2 linked regions of the Caenorhabditis elegans genome follow. The protein of the gene in region 2 interacts with the protein of the main gene of each other region in a pairwise test. Each region holds a gene or a part of one and is shown on either strand. Other genes may lie near its edges.

What was found.
Region 1: the proteins of dre-1 (region 2) and hpo-9 interact in a two-hybrid assay, tested with the Caenorhabditis elegans proteins (one large-scale study listed by BioGRID).

The regions. Positions count from the first base shown.
Region 1 is NC_003283.11:7,232,840-7,241,504, forward strand, and holds hpo-9 (BTB/POZ domain-containing protein 9), read right to left. Parts: upstream 4,292-8,665; 5' UTR 4,288-4,291; coding exon 4,173-4,287; intron 4,124-4,172; coding exon 3,338-4,123; intron 3,290-3,337; coding exon 2,992-3,289; intron 2,774-2,991; coding exon 2,661-2,773; intron 2,614-2,660; coding exon 2,180-2,613; 3' UTR 2,083-2,179; downstream 1-2,082. Other genes in the region: C05C8.5 (Exonuclease domain-containing protein), read right to left, coding at 1-177, 225-796, 845-1,145, 1,203-1,477, 1,522-1,652, 1,698-1,835, 1,887-1,974; Centriolar and ciliogenesis-associated protein hyls-1, read left to right, coding at 4,719-4,815, 4,871-5,041, 5,092-5,246, 5,440-5,672, 6,552-6,720; C05C8.1 (ATP synthase subunit s, mitochondrial), read left to right, coding at 6,932-7,023, 7,896-8,128, 8,180-8,457.
Region 2 is NC_003283.11:6,541,782-6,550,604, forward strand, and holds the start of dre-1 (F-box domain-containing protein), read right to left. Parts: upstream 4,711-8,823; coding exon 4,581-4,710; intron 1,991-4,580; exon of another isoform or gene 1,785-1,990; intron 506-1,784; exon of another isoform or gene 356-505; intron 219-355; exon of another isoform or gene 103-218; intron 1-102. Other genes in the region: K04A8.20 (Ovule protein), read left to right, coding at 7,667-8,011; Lipase lipl-4, read left to right, coding at 8,418-8,525, 8,733-8,823. UniProt on the Caenorhabditis elegans protein: Substrate recognition component of a SCF (SKP1-CUL1-F-box protein) E3 ubiquitin-protein ligase complex which mediates the ubiquitination and subsequent proteasomal degradation of target proteins including blmp-1.

The sequences.
Region 1 (8,665 bases), 690 kb from region 2:
TTCAGTGCCTCCGCGTTGTCAGGAACTTCTCCTTGCTCTGAATCAGTTTCTTCCAATGGTTCTATTTTTTCTTTGTCAATCTCCACGAGGATTACACTGTCATTGAGCATTTCAGAAGCTACACTGTTGACGAATCCATTATAGGAGGGAAAAGAGGAATGAAGTTTTGAGCGGACCCTGAAATAAATTAGGTACTTAAACTTTATTATTTTTAAATATCTTACTTTTTTGATATGGGAGGACAGTCGAGAATAGCAGTATCGAAAGCACACATCACAGATTTCATTTTATCCTTTTTCAAATAATTCCCGATTGGAGATGCTTTCTTTTCATGATCCACATCAAGTGTATCCTGCCAATGAAAATCTCCTTGGGCACTTATCCCGATCTTCACACAATGCACACATTTCGAAGGAGTCGATACAAATCTGCATCTGCAATTGGCAACTGTGCAAGCAACAACTGTTGGCTGAGAGCAATCAGTACACGGTTTTGATGTGATTTCAGCAGCCGTGACAATTTTCTTCTCAACTGCTCCATTGTTTTTTGCGTATTCAGAATATTTCCATCCGAAGCTCACGTTCCCGAACATCAATCCTTTTTCGAGTTTCAGCTGAGCGAGGCGCATCGCTGCCCACGCATCTTCATACGAGCAATGACCGAATTCTGATTGAATTTGTGCTCCGAGAAAGAGTTCCGTCAAATTTTTGAGACTATTTCGGAATTCTGTGTTGCTATTCGTATAGTTGAGAACATGACCAACGTCGAGACAAAATGGATGTGTCATTTTCATTGCCTGTAATTGGTTTCAATAAAATAGGAAATAAACTGAAAATTCGAATACCTGTAGATCGTGCTCTAATGAGTGTCCAACAAGAATTGCATCCGGCGGTAACAAGCTCTGAATAGCTTTTTGAACATCTCCAAGAGTCGTCGTTACTCCTTCCATCATATCCGGTGTAATTCCAGACCATCGCGTCACATAATCTGTGATTCGACCTTCTGGTTTCACAAGAGTATCTAGAATCGTATTCTCGAATTCATCCACTATCGATATTCGTGTAAGTTCTCGATTCGCAACGTCTGTTTCACACATCTCACAGTCAACAGAAAACATTGGAGATGAAGCTGATATTTTTTTATATCTGAAATTTTAAATAAAACTTAATCTGCACTGAAAACAAGTAATATCGCTAATTTACCCTTGTTTAGTGGGTACAACACCTTCTTCACCAGGAAATGGGTAGCGTCGTTGAGCCAATTGTTCAGTTGTGAGCACAAAATGCGATTTATCGTGTTTTCCGTCTCTATCATAAGTTTTTTGCATTATGACAGACTTTCTCCGAATCTGTTCCTGAATAGTAAGCCGGACTTGCATAATGCTGTTCCAGAACAATCCACGATCACTGACATCTGAATCCAACTCTATCCATTGCTTTTCAAAGAATTCACTAAGAAAGCTTAGATTCGTTGTCGTCTGTAATGATTTCAGCGATTTAGGTTTTCAATGCAATCCCTTACGAAAAAATCGTCATCCACATTGACACGAACCACTAGGTTCTGAAGGACATTTCTATGATGGGATAGACTGACCCATCTGGGCTTTTGGAGTGATGATCCAAATATGCTGAAGTGAATAAACTGAGCCAGAGCTGGAAAACTATGCGAAAATTGTGGATTTTAAAGTGGATTATTACTTTCGCAGTCTAATCGATGGCCATCACCTAGTCGGGACAGCCTTAACTCTAATTTTGGCTTGGATGGATCATCACTACTTGTACTAGGAGACTTGGTTGGTTTTTCAGAGCTTGTTAATCGACGTCTTTTTGTTGCACCTGAAATTAATTTCTTTTCCTGGAATTTATTTTTTTATTTATTCCCCTTACATTGAAATTCATGTTCTGCTTGTTCTGGTGATTTGAATAGGTTTTCTATCTCTGATTTGAGACTTTTCCTCAGTTCTCGCTTCGCCATCCCTCTCAAAAATCTGAAAAAAACGGTTAGAATTTCAAGAATAAAGAAAATAAAAAAATAAATTTATTTTCGGTGTGTGGCGTCCGTGTATGTGGTTTTTTTTCAAAAGAAATTATTAACATTTTTATTCAATAAATTTAATAACTTATTTTTCATCAGACATTTAAGTGAAATAATGCATTATATATATTTCTGTAACCCGGTTTTATTTTATGGCAATTGGAACGTTTGAGGGAGCCTCGAGATGTACAACGTGAAAGACTTCGTTTATGGAATTCCGGGTACCAACAAGTCGAATATACACAACTGGAAGAGGATCAAATATGAGTTCTTGCCATCCATGACATTCTTCATTGGTGCGGTCGACAATCGTAACCCATTCGTCTTGATTCTTCGATACGGCAACATAATACGAGTAGAATCGATCATCACAATTCCATAACAAAATTCGCATTGAAGATATAATGTAGGGCTGAGCAAGTTGAATCATGATGAGACCACTTCCAATTTGATGACACGTGTATCCAGTATCCCAGTCGTAGGATGAGGAATCCCCGTTGATAAGAGCATTCCGACATCGAGAAACTCCTTCAACAACCCGTGCGTGATTTTCTATCGTTGTGATGTTTCGATGAGGAACTGAGAAAATTGAAATTATATTACATTTCCACAGCAAAATGTGATACCTATGACTTTGTGCACAGGTTCGACAGGCATTGTTTCGGTAGAGAACATGGCTTCGATTCGACTTCCTTCCAGTTTACACGACATTGAATTGTTGACTCGGATCAAAATATGCCTGAAATGCAAATTATGGTGAATAATTTTCGAGTTTCACGGGTTTTCTGTAGAAAATTACTATAGGCGCTGTAGTTTTTTTTCGAAAGTTTTAAATGTTTCGGAAAATGAATAAAAAATAGATCAATTAAACTTCGCCCGTTAGTTCCAAAACCGCCGAAATGTTTTTGAATTTCTACTATTAATGCAATGGATTTTACAATAAAATCAATCACTTACCGCACAACAGAATCTGTGAAGAAGAGTCTTTGTGTTCCTCGACAATCATATTCCGAGTAATCAGCAACTAGATTCCAATGAGCATCAACTCGATTATCCATACTAACGTGAACTTGGTATGTAAATGCTTGAACTTCATTTTTCCAGTTAAAATCCATCATAATTGTATTGATAATGAATGGTTTTCCGAGATCAATTTGAAATACACTAATATTCTCGTCATTAGTGTAGCGACTGCTGAGCTCTCGTGACAATGGCTGTGCGTGTGGATAGTGTGGAATTATATTCGTGTCGAGGCCTATAAAATGGAATAGATTAAACAGAAAATAAATAAAATTCAACTCACTTTTGCATCCTCTGAATGGAATCTCGTGTGGTCTTTGTGTTTGAACTTCTATAGCATCCAGAAGAGTATCAGCTGACACCAACCCAGTTGGTCTTACACAATTAAGAAGTTCGGTTTGTGTTATAAGGGGAAGTCTGACCAATTCCAGCAAAACTTTTGATGCTTCTTTCATTGTTGGATTATTCTGATGCCATGAACGTACCGCATTGAAGATCTTCAATTCTAATGCAAAAAATGAATCTCTCGCAAGAAGCTCCTTCAGACTATCTCCTGATAATCGGTTGAAGCTGGGATCTTCGAGAAGCTGATCTGCATGTTTATCAGAATATTGCATGCAATAATCTATAAGATCAGTGAATTGAAAGAAGTATGCAGCATTGAAAATACTACACAAGTTCTCATTCTTCAAAATTTCCTTGAAATATTCGCTTATTGCTGTCATAAGCTGAATTAAATCATAACGATGTGCCAGACTGAGATATTCTAGCAAAATATCCAGTTCCACTCCGGCAAAATCGATTTTCGATGTGTACATGTACCGAAGAACAGCTCGGAAGGCTACTGAATTCGTTTCCTGAAGAGTCACAAGCTGTTGATGGCTTTCTTGAAAACCTGTATAGAGCATAGCTCGAAAAAAGCTACTTCTCACAGCCAAGATCAAACGATGGGCAGCAAATTCAGTTCCATCGTCGAGAACAAGAGTTACATCGGAGTGGTCTGTTGAAGTGAAAATCTCATCGAAACTTTGTGAAAGCTCATCAAGATGTTGTACAACAGATTTGTTAACTGAAATAATAGCTAATTTTGGTCAATTTTTCTGCTTTTAGAGACTTACCGCTATTCACCGCATTAAAATTATTGGAAATGGCGGCGGATTCTGTTCTCATAGTTTCGACAATTCCTCGTCCATCTTCTTGAATCGGCCGCCCAAAAGCATGGTTATCGCTCATGTACCTGAAAACCCGTCATTATCATTAATTATTGAATTTTAATAAAAAAGTTATTTTAAATTTAATTTTTCGGGATAAAATTAGAAAATTCGGAAAAGTTTTTAACAAGGAGAATGATGGGCGGAGTCATGTTTGGCAATCTGGGCGCACTGTTTTGCAATGGCACCGCGCGCGCTATTTTTTTAAGATTTGAACCTGGCGCGCTTTCTGGCGTTCAATAGAGCACGTTTGCTTTTTTGTTTTTTATTTGTTTTTTTTTTGCACGAACAATATTGTTTGTTGTTACAGAAAAACCCCACCATCTTGTGACTGATCAGATCATTGTGACAATCTCAAAAATATTTTCAAAACGTTACGGGTAGTTTAACGTGTACGTCATTTCCTCCTTGTTCATAAAACACGCTTCATCGAGCATTTGGCTTCAAGGAAAAATGGCAAATTTTACCACTGAAAACGAGCTCGAAGATATTCTTCATCAAATGGGTCACCATATACATGACAAAAACCAATTTGCAACTTTCAAGAATGGTTAGTTTTTTTTCCTAAAATATTTAAATCCAATATAAAAGATCGTATTCTTCAGAAATTGATAATCTACTCGACCGAGAGCTTTGTCTGTCAGATGCCGATGAAGACGTTATGAATGAATCTCTATTTGCTTCATTATCAGTTGATCCAGCCGCTCAATTCATACGACAAGAACGAAATTTTCCAACCGAAAATCTGAATATTCAGTCCCCAATTGTTTCTAGAAGTGAGTTAAGTTTTAAGATTTTCTTCAATTAATCTGTGATTTTTTTTCAGAAAGACAAGGAAAACGGTTTATCTACGAAAATGTAGAGTTACAAAGCGATTTCGACGATGAAAGCTCAAACGAGTATCCTGAGAGAAACCTTCTGGTCGATCGAGCGTGGCGAAGCATACATCGTGCAATGGAAACATGCAATGGTGCCACAGAGGTTTTGACTTTTTCGTTTTTTTTTTTGTTGAAAAATGCTGACTTCCATTCAAGATTTTTTCCATAGATTAAGCTGGAAAATGTTCAAAAAGTCTAAAAATAATAAAATTGAATCCTGTGAGCCAACCGAACGTCAAGATTCAGATGTTTGTGCATTTTATTTTATAAAAAATAAGTTTTAAATATTTTTTCAGACTCTTAAATCAATATCACTGGATGGCAGCGACATACAAGAACGATCAAGTGTGGATGATGAGGAAAATATCGCTGAATCAGTTTCCGTGGGGTTAAGCACTGAAACTGAACAATCAGAGCTTCAAAAATCTTCACGACCGGAAAAAGAAGTTTGGACTCGGAATGTGTTGTCACTTGAACCAGGAAGAGCACCAAAAAAATATGATCCGGTCACAAGATATCATTTCTACAAGTAATTCATTTTATTCAGTTTGAGAGTGTCGTGACTGTGTAGTAGCGATGGAAGAACGTTTTATTTATAATTTTGATTTAGAAAAAATTAAAATACTTTAAAAAGTATTGGCATTATTGAAAAAATCAAAGTATCAAAAATGCCAATTTTTGAAAAGAAAGAAAATATTGGAAAAAAAAAGTTTTCGAAATAATTAAAATATTTCCAACAATATAGACTGAATGAAATAGAATAAAAATCAAATATTTTGATAAAATCGTATTTCCAAAAAAAAAAAGATTAAAAAGTTTTTTTTTACATTTTCAAAAATATGCCAATTTTTAAAAAATCTAAAAAAAGTAAAAAAAAATTAAAATTTGGAAAAAAAACAAAAATATGTTTTAAAAAATGGATAAATTTGTGGAAAATTCAAATCTTTAAAAAATTATATACATTTTTGAAAAAATCAAAATATTTTCAAAAAATAATAATAATAATAATAATAATTTATTACGCTCGCTGGGAGACGTGAAGGAATACAGAATACAAAAGTTATCATTGTTCGCTTGAACTAGAATTGGTGCAGTCGGGCAATTGTTTCCATTCCATTAGAATGTTGTCCTTGTCCTTGCGTTGTCCTTGCGTAGACTCCCCCATAGTGGGCGAGCGATTCTCGAGTGAAAATAATCACGGAATAAAAAATATGAATTTTTGAAAAACAAAAAAATATTAAGAAAGTATATAAATTTCTAAAAAAAACAATATTTTTTGCAATATTTTTTTAAAACGGTAACGCGACCAATTTTCGAAGTGATTTTGCACTTAAAATTTTTTTTTTGCAAAATTATACTGAAAAAAGTCTTCAACATTTATTTTTATAACATTTTTGTTTTCTTGCAGATCTGAATGGGATCGTCATCCGGCTCCAGGTGAAATGCGTCGTTTATCACTTCGTTGGAAAGTTCGAGAATTCATGTTACGTCATGATGTTCCACGATTGAATGAAAATAATGAAGATTGGAAGGCTAATCACGATAAGGACTGGTCACCTCGCCCATATATAGATTAATTTCTTTAAAAAGTGTTATATATTTATGAAAATCGTTTTGAAATCTCAAAATTCTTTTGGCAATAATCTTCTGTGTAAAATGAATATGATCTCTGTTTTATAATGTGTTGATTTTTTTATTTGAAGTCGATTCCCTGATTTTTTATGGGACAATGTATTTTTTTCTTGAATTGATAATAATTTATTCAACAAAAAATTATATGAAATTCAGATGAGCATACGTAAAATACAAGAAAAGTTTACCCAAGCCCTGGGACAACACAATATTCCCGGACTCCGTTGGGTTCTGGAGGGATTCAACAAGTTGGTTTTTTTCTAATATTATTAAAATAAAAACGAAAAATGCCAAAAATGGATCACGTTGAAATTTTAGAATAGTCGCGAATTTACAGACTCAAAAATACGGTTTCAAAAAAAGCGCCTACAATTTTTGCCATTTTAGAAAATAATTATTTTTTCTCTCATTAACATTTTACAATACAATACAATAACAAATTTAATTTCAAAACGCTTTTTTTTGTTAATTTTTGAAACATTTTTTCGAAATTTCATTTTACGGAAGAACCAAAAAATCAAAAATGTTCGCTTTTCAGATTTTCACTGAGAATAAAAATATACAAAAACTGTAAAAATTGCCAACTAATTTTCGTGTCAAGACCAGGCACAACTGTTTCGGGTCAAAAACTAAAAATTTCAAAATTGTTTTTTTTGCGTTTTAAACCCTTTTTCCAAGTTCAGTATCCGGTTACAGCAGTACTTGACTAATTTCGCGAAAATTTGGCACTTCAGTTTAAAGGGACATGCTATTTTTCTGAGCGGGTCTAGCCGATACAGGTGCCATCAGGCATTTTTGGGTTTGATCTATAATATAAATTAAAGTTTTAGGCCGCCAGGATTTATAATAAAAGATGTAGCACCTAGAGTCACTTTTCTGCAAACAGAATATAATTGTTCAAAAATAAGTCCCCGAATATAGATAAATTGCTAATAAAATTGGAAAATGACCGTAATGTTCAGAATAGTGTGATTTGATTTTTTGGTTTAAAAACTGAACTAATCGCTTTCGGTTTATCGCATTCTTTTCTCGTTTTCTGCAAAAATTTGCAAAAGTACAAAACCGAAGAACCGTGGCTGAATGCACTTATTAAGACCAGATTAACACAGATCTCTTGCAGCTATGATGTTCAAAGAGTGAAGGAGGTGGGTGCAGATCGTGCTGCAGCTGAATGGATTGTGAGATGTGGTGGAAGTATCAAGTTCAATCAGATCGCTGAGACGTTTGAGGATTATAATTGTTTGGTGAAAAGAACTGCACAATTGGATCCGAGACTTTCACAGGATAATGTCACTCTGGAAACAATCAGAGCTGTCAATGCAAGTGTTACTGGATTTGGTTGTCGTCATTTTGGTAAATTATTTATAATTTGTTGCAAAGAAAACGAATAAATATTTATTTCAGAAGGCTTGACAGGAATCAAAAGTGTCTACTTCATCAAATGTAAGAATCTTCATGATTTTGGTCTTGAATACATGGGAAATCATGTAGGAGGTCACCTGAAAACTCTTCACATTGAAGAATGCCGTCGTATCACCGAATTCGGATTGGAGCATCTAACCAAATTCTCGGCTCTTGATAAGCTTGTACTTCGCAATTTAAAGAGTGTTCACGGGAAGGAGAAAGTTCAGGAGAAGCTTCGTGGAGCACTTCCGAAGACTGATATTCAATTTGAAGTCTAATTGAAAAACAGTGATTTTGTATGTATGTATAATAGTTTTTGGTAGACAGAATAAAAACTGATAGACCGGTTGAAATTGTTTTCCATCACACAAATGGCAATTAAAAAAGTGTACTAGTTGAAGTTTTACGGAAACACAAAATTCTGAGAATGCGTATTGGGCAACATATTTGACGCGCAAAATATCTCGTAGCGGAAACTAAATACAG
Region 2 (8,823 bases):
AGCATGGATCGCAGCGCCAGACGGTCGTGCCAGCGTTAGTGTGAACACAGAAGTGCAACGCAACTTGGTACGTATCTCGTCCCTGAGATCTCTCATTTCTCAGTACTATCTCGATGTCCCCTCGGGACGCAACCAGGTACCTGGTGTGGCGAGATGGCCTCGGGACGATGATGACAGGAGAGGCGAGAATCCTCTCTCTCTCCCGCGCTCTCCCGGAGGTATCGAAGCGGGGTTCGCCTAAAACTTTTGAGACGGTGACTGTACACGCGCGCGCGCCAAAACTGTCAAAGGGACACATATACCGTCCCTTCTACTTACTCTCTCTCAATCTCTTTCAATGTTCTTGTCTTCTGCTTCTCTCTATGCTTCTACATCTTATTTGGGTCATTGTGTTGGTGGATACGCGCATGTACGTCTGCGCACTCTTCGATTCATTTCGCGCCTCCATCTTTCATGTCCCAATTCGATATCTTCGCAATGAATAACCAAGCAGAGATTGAGGAGAGGACACCGAATTACACAATGAACAGCACACATACACACAATTATGAATGCTTCTCCTTTTTGCGGAGACATTGCTTAATTGCTTAAATCTTCGATGGGAATAGTGGGTGATGATCCTAACCGGTGGCTTACCGGCATTTGAAACAAATTCCAGATGGAAAATAGAGTTGTAGTTGCCTCAGGATATGTTTATCAAATTGGGACACTAGAGATGGAAACGTCTCGATATTTGATATTGGAAGTATCAGGCGGATATAGTTTGAAAATTGGAATTTCAACAATTCGAAAATCGGGGCATCCATTTCACAAGGTTTGCGCGGCGATTCCCTACTAGCAATTCTACAAAATGAGCGAGGGAAGCATGTTCTTTGTTGAAAATTAGTGTTATATGTAGATAAATACTTGTTTTATGAGAAAATAGTCTTCACTTAGTTTGGAACAACTGAAAAATTGCTCAAAAAATTGTTTCAAGCTGCAAATTGCTGAGGAAGAATCCGGCAAATTACTGCAATTTTTATCGGCAATTTGTACCTTCCAGGAACTTGTGGAGCACTTTTTTAAATGTTGTTCCAACTGAAATAACAGGTATTTTCAGATGAAACAAGTATTTTTCTATAATTTATCGCTAAATTTTAACTTAAAAAATCTTGGTAGAACATGCTACACTGACTCATTTTGTAGATGTGCCGGTCTGATTTTTCTGGATTCCAAGTGTAATAAGTTGAGTTTTAACCCATTTCCCAATGCCATTTTTCGGTTTTTTGAGTGAGATTCTTAGCTGAATGAAGGCAGAAATTTCTGAAGATGATGATGATGATGATGACCTAAGGTTCTCATCTAATGCGATAAGAGGAAGATGAATTGAAGAAAAACGGGAGGAATGCAAGGATAACGAGATGGTTGATCGGATAGATGTGTGAGTGCATACGTGGCAAAATCTGGTTATGCCAACATCGTCTGGAAGAAGAAAAAGAAGACATAAGAAGAAGAAGAGAAGAAAAAAAAGTCGTAAAAGTTTATGTTTTGAAGGAAGTAGCAGGGACGGAAGAGGAGGATGTGATGATGTGTCTAATCAATAATAAGACTAGATTGAAATGTGTAATTGAATCGGCCTGATGGGACAATTGTAGGAGGTCAGAAGAAACATTCCGAAAATAGCAATTTATGTGTGGGGGAGGCGACAAAAGGTGCGTAAACATAAAATTTACAAAAGCATCGATGTTTACAGAAGCATATAGGTGTTCTTGTCCTTCATCATTCAATGCCTTTGGCCAGTTTTTGAATGCCCCTAGTCTTCATCGTCATCAACGTCCAACTGTACGACGATGGAGACGATGCCTACACCGAAGAGGACATAGAGTGAGAGAATGTGGCATGTAGCAAAGAGGAAAATGAGGGCAAGAAGCAGTCAGCAATAGCCATGAATTGAAACTGGATTCGGTGTCGTCGGCCCCCTGTATGATGTAGATGGGGCGTGGATCCATTGGGCTAGTGATGATGGTCACGCTGTGGAATTGAGAAAGAAGGGACGAGAAGGAGAACTAACTGTGAAAAAATTGGGGAGAAGCTCAATGGGTTTGCTTTAGGAGCAAGCCGTGCCAGGGTCACTGTTTGTTTAGTTTTTTTGGGTTAGGTTAGATCAAGGGTAGTGCTCCGTTTTTTGAGAATGACAGGGATGAAAATGATGTTGACCAGTTGAACTACCCAACTAGACACATCAGAAATTATGTTAACTCCAACTCGGCAAAACGTCGCAACTTCATAGCAATCTCCTGCAACTTAATAAAAACATTCATATAACTTTGTAAAAAGCTGTTAAGAAGTTGCGAAAACCAACGGGATTGTGAGCGAAATTTAGCTTTACATCTGCTAAAAAATTGCAAAAGTCGTCTGAAAAGCTGCAGAAGTTTGCTTAAAAGCTAAAATGCCTAATGGTTGTTAAGAAGTTGCAAGAGTATGCTACGAAGTTAGGCCATTTTGCCGAGAAACTTTAAAAAAAAATGAATGTGATGGCGTTAAAACTATCAGCTTTCACTGCGAAAAAACTGGGAAAATGGTTTAATATTCACAAAATTCTTTCAATTCTCTTAATACTTTAAAAAATTACTCCTCAAACATTTTTGATTTTTTTTTCTTTTTGGTAATAAAATATCACCTGACAGCAAAGTTTTGCAGCTTCAGGTATTTTTTTTCCAATTTAGAAAAATCTTATACTTGCAGAAAAAATTTGCAAATTGTATTTCTTGCTAACTGTGAGTTTTTAAAAATAAAGTTCCAAAATGTGTGTTTCAAAAACCTGCAAACTTGTTTTAAATCCACATGTACTTTTAAAATATGTTCATGGGGAGTCTCCAACGGAACATTTTTTCAAAGTTTTTTCCCGATTATTGATCAAATCGGAAATAATATTACCAAAAAATCTCGAGTCTTTCTTTTTTTCAACAGGAAAATAATTTGAGAAAAAGTATTTTAATCAGACAGTTTGAAAATTATTTTCCATCGGTCCTGATAAAAGTTTAAAGGGGTTACAAGAGAAAAGAAAAGCACAAAAAATATAAATACGAAAACTATAAAAGCAGCTGACTAAAAATGAAAACATAGATGGGAAAAAAAGAAAAAGCCGGAAGTAGTTTTTCGATTCACTCTGCCAAATTCTCTTCATCACTTTTTTGATGATTCTCTATTTTTTTTTTTGAAATGTCTCATATTACCTCAAAAGCATAGAAATAAAAAGAAAAACACGCAGACAACTCCGAAGTGATCTAACGAAAATCTCGCGTGTGAGTGTATGTCAGTGCCGGCCTGTCCTTTCTCCAACATAACGATATTGTTATTCACAGTTGGCATTTCTTTCGAAGGTGAGGGTACGCAGACAACACGTGGAAGGTGGCCCATGGGAGGGGGAGATGATGAGATGCGCGGAAAATGGTCGTCGGCAACGGCAACAACACATTGACCGGTGGTGGTACCGGGCGTGCACTACTAGAAGACACCACTCACTGACTCGAGAGACGACCTTCTTTCAATATTCTTCATGTATGTTATTGCGATGAACCCGACACGAGATAACAACCCGATGATGAGTGGTAATTTATAGGTTCGGGTCAAGTTTTATAGCTCAAATATGCTTTGAAAAACAAAAAGAAAAAGGACATCAAATTTGAAAAAAAGTGTATTGCCTATGTAATTTTTTGTGCACTCCAGAAAAGGTGAGAATAAATTTGAAATGTGACTTACGTCATTCAATGAAATTTTAGTTTTCTCCGGTTTCCATAAGCAAACGCCACAATAGTTAATCAGGTGACATTGCAGAATTCACAATAAAAAGTGCAAAACACTATGCATCAAAAGGCTCGGGCAAAAAATCCAGCTCCCATGAAAGTATTTCAGCATATTTTTAGAATTCTAAATAAAACCTATATCATTTGAAAGAGTGCCTTGGCAATAGGTTACTTTTAAAAATTGGCAACAAAGGAGCACATTGAATTAGAAAAGGTCATTCTGAAAATTTTTGACAAAAATCTTTGCAAAATTCTTTCAGGCCAAAGAACTGTAATGTTTTGTAATGACATATTTCAAGACTCACATTTAAAAGACATAAGTTTCATCTGGAACTAAAAACGAGCTGAAATATTTTTCTTGCTAGTTGTGCTATTTTAGAGATTTTTTGAACATAGATGTGATTGCCACCTTTTTAGGACATTTTTTAAAAGTAGACAATCGTGGTGGAAATTCGAAAAAGTTTAGTGAGCGCACTCCTGTTACAGTTAGAGAAAAAGTTATTAACGTGGAGAAATTATTTTTTGAGCTCTTACTTTTATGTTCATCATTATCAAATTTGCTTGTTCCTATTTTTAGTCTGATCTTTTTAATTTTTTAAAGTGTCAATAGCAACACAAACATCACGAGAAACGGAAGATTAAATTGGATACATCGGACAGATAGTAGAATTGAATCCACCGGGCGGGTCAACAGAGGTCAGTGTCACACATACACTCTACGATAAGCTTATGACGATCGATGATCGAACACCGCTGTATCCTTCATCACCGACCTAGTTTTCTTCAAATACTTACCGAATTTTCGTGCAGATGAGGATCCTCTTCTCTGAAGTTTTGGAGAAAGATGCGCGGCTCTCGTTGAAACGAGAGAAGGCCGCGATTCCATAAGCACATCGTCACTCGACACTTCTTCTTCCTCCGCCATCAACTGAAATTATTGAAGATTACGGACGTTTCAAGGTGTAAAAATATAATGTGTGTGAAAATATTAAAAATTTAAATTCCAAATAAAAAACTTTAAACTTTAAAAACAATCTCATGAAGCATAGTGAGAGAGAGAGAGAGTTTTTATGATAGTTTTTGTGGGAAATAAAGAGCAAACAAAGCAAAAACTGCAATTTCCCAAAAAATATAATATAAGAGTAAACATTTAGAATTAGTTTTTTAAAAAATTCAATAATTAGAGGAACGGAGTATATCTATTTGAGATTATTGTTAACGTGGAGAGTGTCCCAGATAACTTCTGTAAATTAAGTAGATATTTGGAAATTTTTTCTACAGTTCAAATTATGATATAATCTAAAACTAGACAGTTTTTATTCTGGAAACCTTCAAGGATGACATTCCCTAATTCCCTAAAACATTGCTTATAAGTCACGAGAAAACGAAGAAAAATGAAATGGAAAACCGAGGAACGACGTGGAAATGCATTTATCAGTGTTAAATTCATTGATAAGTTGGGGTCGTCAAATGATGACGAGCCGATAGAAAAAGTAATGAGAAATGGGAGAAAAGTTGGAAGAAAACTTCTTGGGAAAAGAAGGCAAACTCTTTTTTTTTCTACTTGGAGACGTCAGAGGAAGGAAATATGTAGGAGATGATGAGCTCTTCAAAGAAGAAAAGAAGAGAGGAATAAAATATTTGATTCGGTTGTGCAGTCGGCAATGTGGTGTCAGGATTATTACATTCGTTTTCTTATTTTTTAAAAAAATAAGAAAAATATTCAATTTACGGGGGAGTAGATGAGCTTATGGAGCAGGTTTAGAGCATTAGAATTCTCATTTGAAATTGGAATAATTCAGATTTCTAATCATAGTATTTTCGATGCTACGGTACTCGGTCTAAAAATTTCAACGAAAAATTATGAAAAATCGATGATAACTGTGTAGAAAAGAGAGTTTGAATCACAGTACACCTTCTCGCTTTTGACAAAAATTTGTTGTGTCGAGACCGGGCACTTTATTGTTGGCTAAAAATCGTGAAATTTTGCTTATGGGTAATAGCATGGCTTCTGGACACAACTATTTAATGTTTATTGACAATTAAATTCAATAAATGATTTTTATTCAAAACATGTGGTCGCAAAAGGAAAAATATGCTCGTTCAATGAAATCGCTTTAATTGAAATCAATTATGTAATTGATTTTTTTTGTTGCATTTTGCAGCATATTGTCTGGTAAATAGCACAACATTTTTTTGCTGCCACTTCACAAATGGGCCTTATGGTAAGTTTTACGTTTTTCAATTTCAAAAAATATTTTTTTAACCTAGCGTACATTTATTTCAAAATGTTACCACTGATTGTGAGGAAAGGAAAATTTCAGAAAACTCGATAGTCGGCAAAAATTAAAAGGCTTGAGTTATATAGCTTTTCAACAAGCTTCCAAGATTTTTTTTCCAGTTTCAAGAAAAGAGTATCATTTGCTGGAATTATTGTTGGAATAAAAACTCAAACTTTGCCGGGCAAGGAAAATCAGAAAAACTGTAATTAAACTTTGAATACATCAAAACCAGAATCCGAAGGTGTCAAATTCGGTAAAAGTGTCATTCCAAAAAAGATAAATATACATGGAAAACAGGAAAGTATTCAAAACTGTACTTTTTATCGAACCATATAATCTAGAACACTGAACAAGTCTCTCCACCGTTCACCACCGTCAACGTACGGCGAAATGGAAACCGGACGGATTTGGGAAGAAAAAGAGTGAAGAAATGAGAGGGGGAGAAAAAGAGTTTTAAATAATTCACACCACGTTTTCGCGGGTTTTTTGTTCCTTCATCTAAAAGATGCATATCTTCTAAATTGACAGGGGTCAAGCGCGTCTTATGTGTGTTTCTTTCAAATTACAAAAAGTGGGAGTCTCCGGAATTGGAAGAAAAGATGAGTATCAAAAGGGCGCGGCGCGCGGAGCAATCGCGGAACACAACAGTACGTTCGCTTCTTCCTTCCAATACAATTTTATATTTGCATTTCGGACACACGCACGTTTTTTCTCTCTCTTTCTCTTTCTGCTGACCGCACAGATTGTTGTATATCGTCTCTACTATTTTTGGGAGATGCTCGAAGAGCCCACGAGATCGCGATACGCAGAAACAGAGGGTGGTGAACTTTGAAACTCACCGAAACCTCCGATGTTTCAAGAATTGTGACGTAACCACAAGCTAATATTGGAATTATAACCAAAGAGGGTTATCAACTGGGTGAACTGCGCTCTTTAGTTTCAAAATGTTATGTTTTGATTTGAATATTCAAATAAAACTATAAAACCTTTAAAAAAACACTACATTTTCTAAAATATCGGTGTACTGTACCGATTTTTGGAATCAACATAAATGAAAAATCGGATTTAAAATTTAGCGTTTTTTGTACAGATTTCTAAAATGTTCTTATGCTCTGTTAATGCTCCTTTTAAAGAAATGCTTGAAAACTGAGCTTTCACAATTTTGTTAATAAAACTAATTTTTCAAGATTTATATTTTTATTTTTTAGTTGTTCAGTGAAAATTTTAGTAGTCTGAACCTGCAGAATTGCCTGAATTAACTAAAATAACCACATTTTTGGAAAATATGGCAACTTGCCCAATGGAACGCTTAAAAACTCTATAAAATGCTGGCTTGTTATTTGGACTACATAAAAGTAGTTAGAAAATTCTTATGGACGATACTCAGCTTCTAAAATCTTGAATGTTACAACTAATCTTTCAATGACATTTCGAACACAGGTATATTCGAATGTTTGACTCATTGCTCATAATTTTCTTACAAAATCAACCAAATCACGTTTTGAACTCAATGATCATATACACAGTTCAACCTTTGTTGATAATCACTCCACCCGAAAAAAGGTTGCAAAAGCTGATGTAATCGTGCCAGAAGAAGCAATGAATAGTATTTCTTATTCCTCTCATTCATCCATACTTCTCCCCTTCAATTTATTCCTCCGTTCGTCTTCCGTAGTCTGGCTTCTCCCTCATCTTAATACTGTCTTCTCAAGTCATGTCCACATATTTTCCTCGCAAACCCTCAAACGATTTGCACTTCACATACACACACACACACAAATCTTTTGTGCGATGACTACTGAGACTGCGCGACAATTCGACCTACAAACCACTGGAATCCACGAGGGAATCAAAAATCTTGGAATAATATGTATGATGCTCCTGCAATTTCAGTTGTCATCTGTAGAGCTCTTAAAATTATTTATGACTGAAACCGATATTTGATAAAGGCTGTCTGTTATGAATAAAATATCTGAAAACCTACTAGACTCAGCTGTCTAAGTTTAAACAACTTGAGCGACGTGGTTATGTGAATTATTTTCAGAAATTTATATAAAGTGATTCTTCTAGACTTGATAGACAAATTTTCAAAACGATTGGAATTTTTCAGATCTGCACTGACTGCTTTCTGGGCCTAGTTTAGCAAATTGAGTCCCAACTTTATTTTCTGGTTTTTTTTTCAAAAACTAAAAAGAATCAAACAAAAATCTCTCCACTGATACGAAACAAAGTTCAAAATTATCATTTTGTTGTGCTGCAATAGTCTAAAGTTCGCTAGTCAAAAAACAACCAAAACCGAATGTAAACTGATAGGAAAAGAGAAAGAAAATAATAATGTTTTGTGTGCAACATGAGAGAATCAATCAGTGATTTGATGACTGTAATGATCCCATTGTTAATTATTTTATTACTGTCAAATTACTCAAAAAGTGTCGATCTTGAGTTTTATTTAGATACGGTGAGTAATATTTATTTAAAGTTTATTTCTTGTTGGCTGGAAACTCAAATTACGTTTTGTTTGTTTCATTATCAGTTGGAAATAAATTGGCCACTCTTTTTGTTCCGATACATTTATTTCAAACTGAGAAACATCAACTTTAATTTTATACATGTAATTTTTACAATTAATTACTTCGATTCAGATTCAGTAAATTAAGCTTTTCAGCCGGAATTAATAAAATCATGGGGTTACTCAGTTGAGATCTACAACACAACAACAAAAGATGGCTTCATTCTGGAACTTCATAGAATCCCAT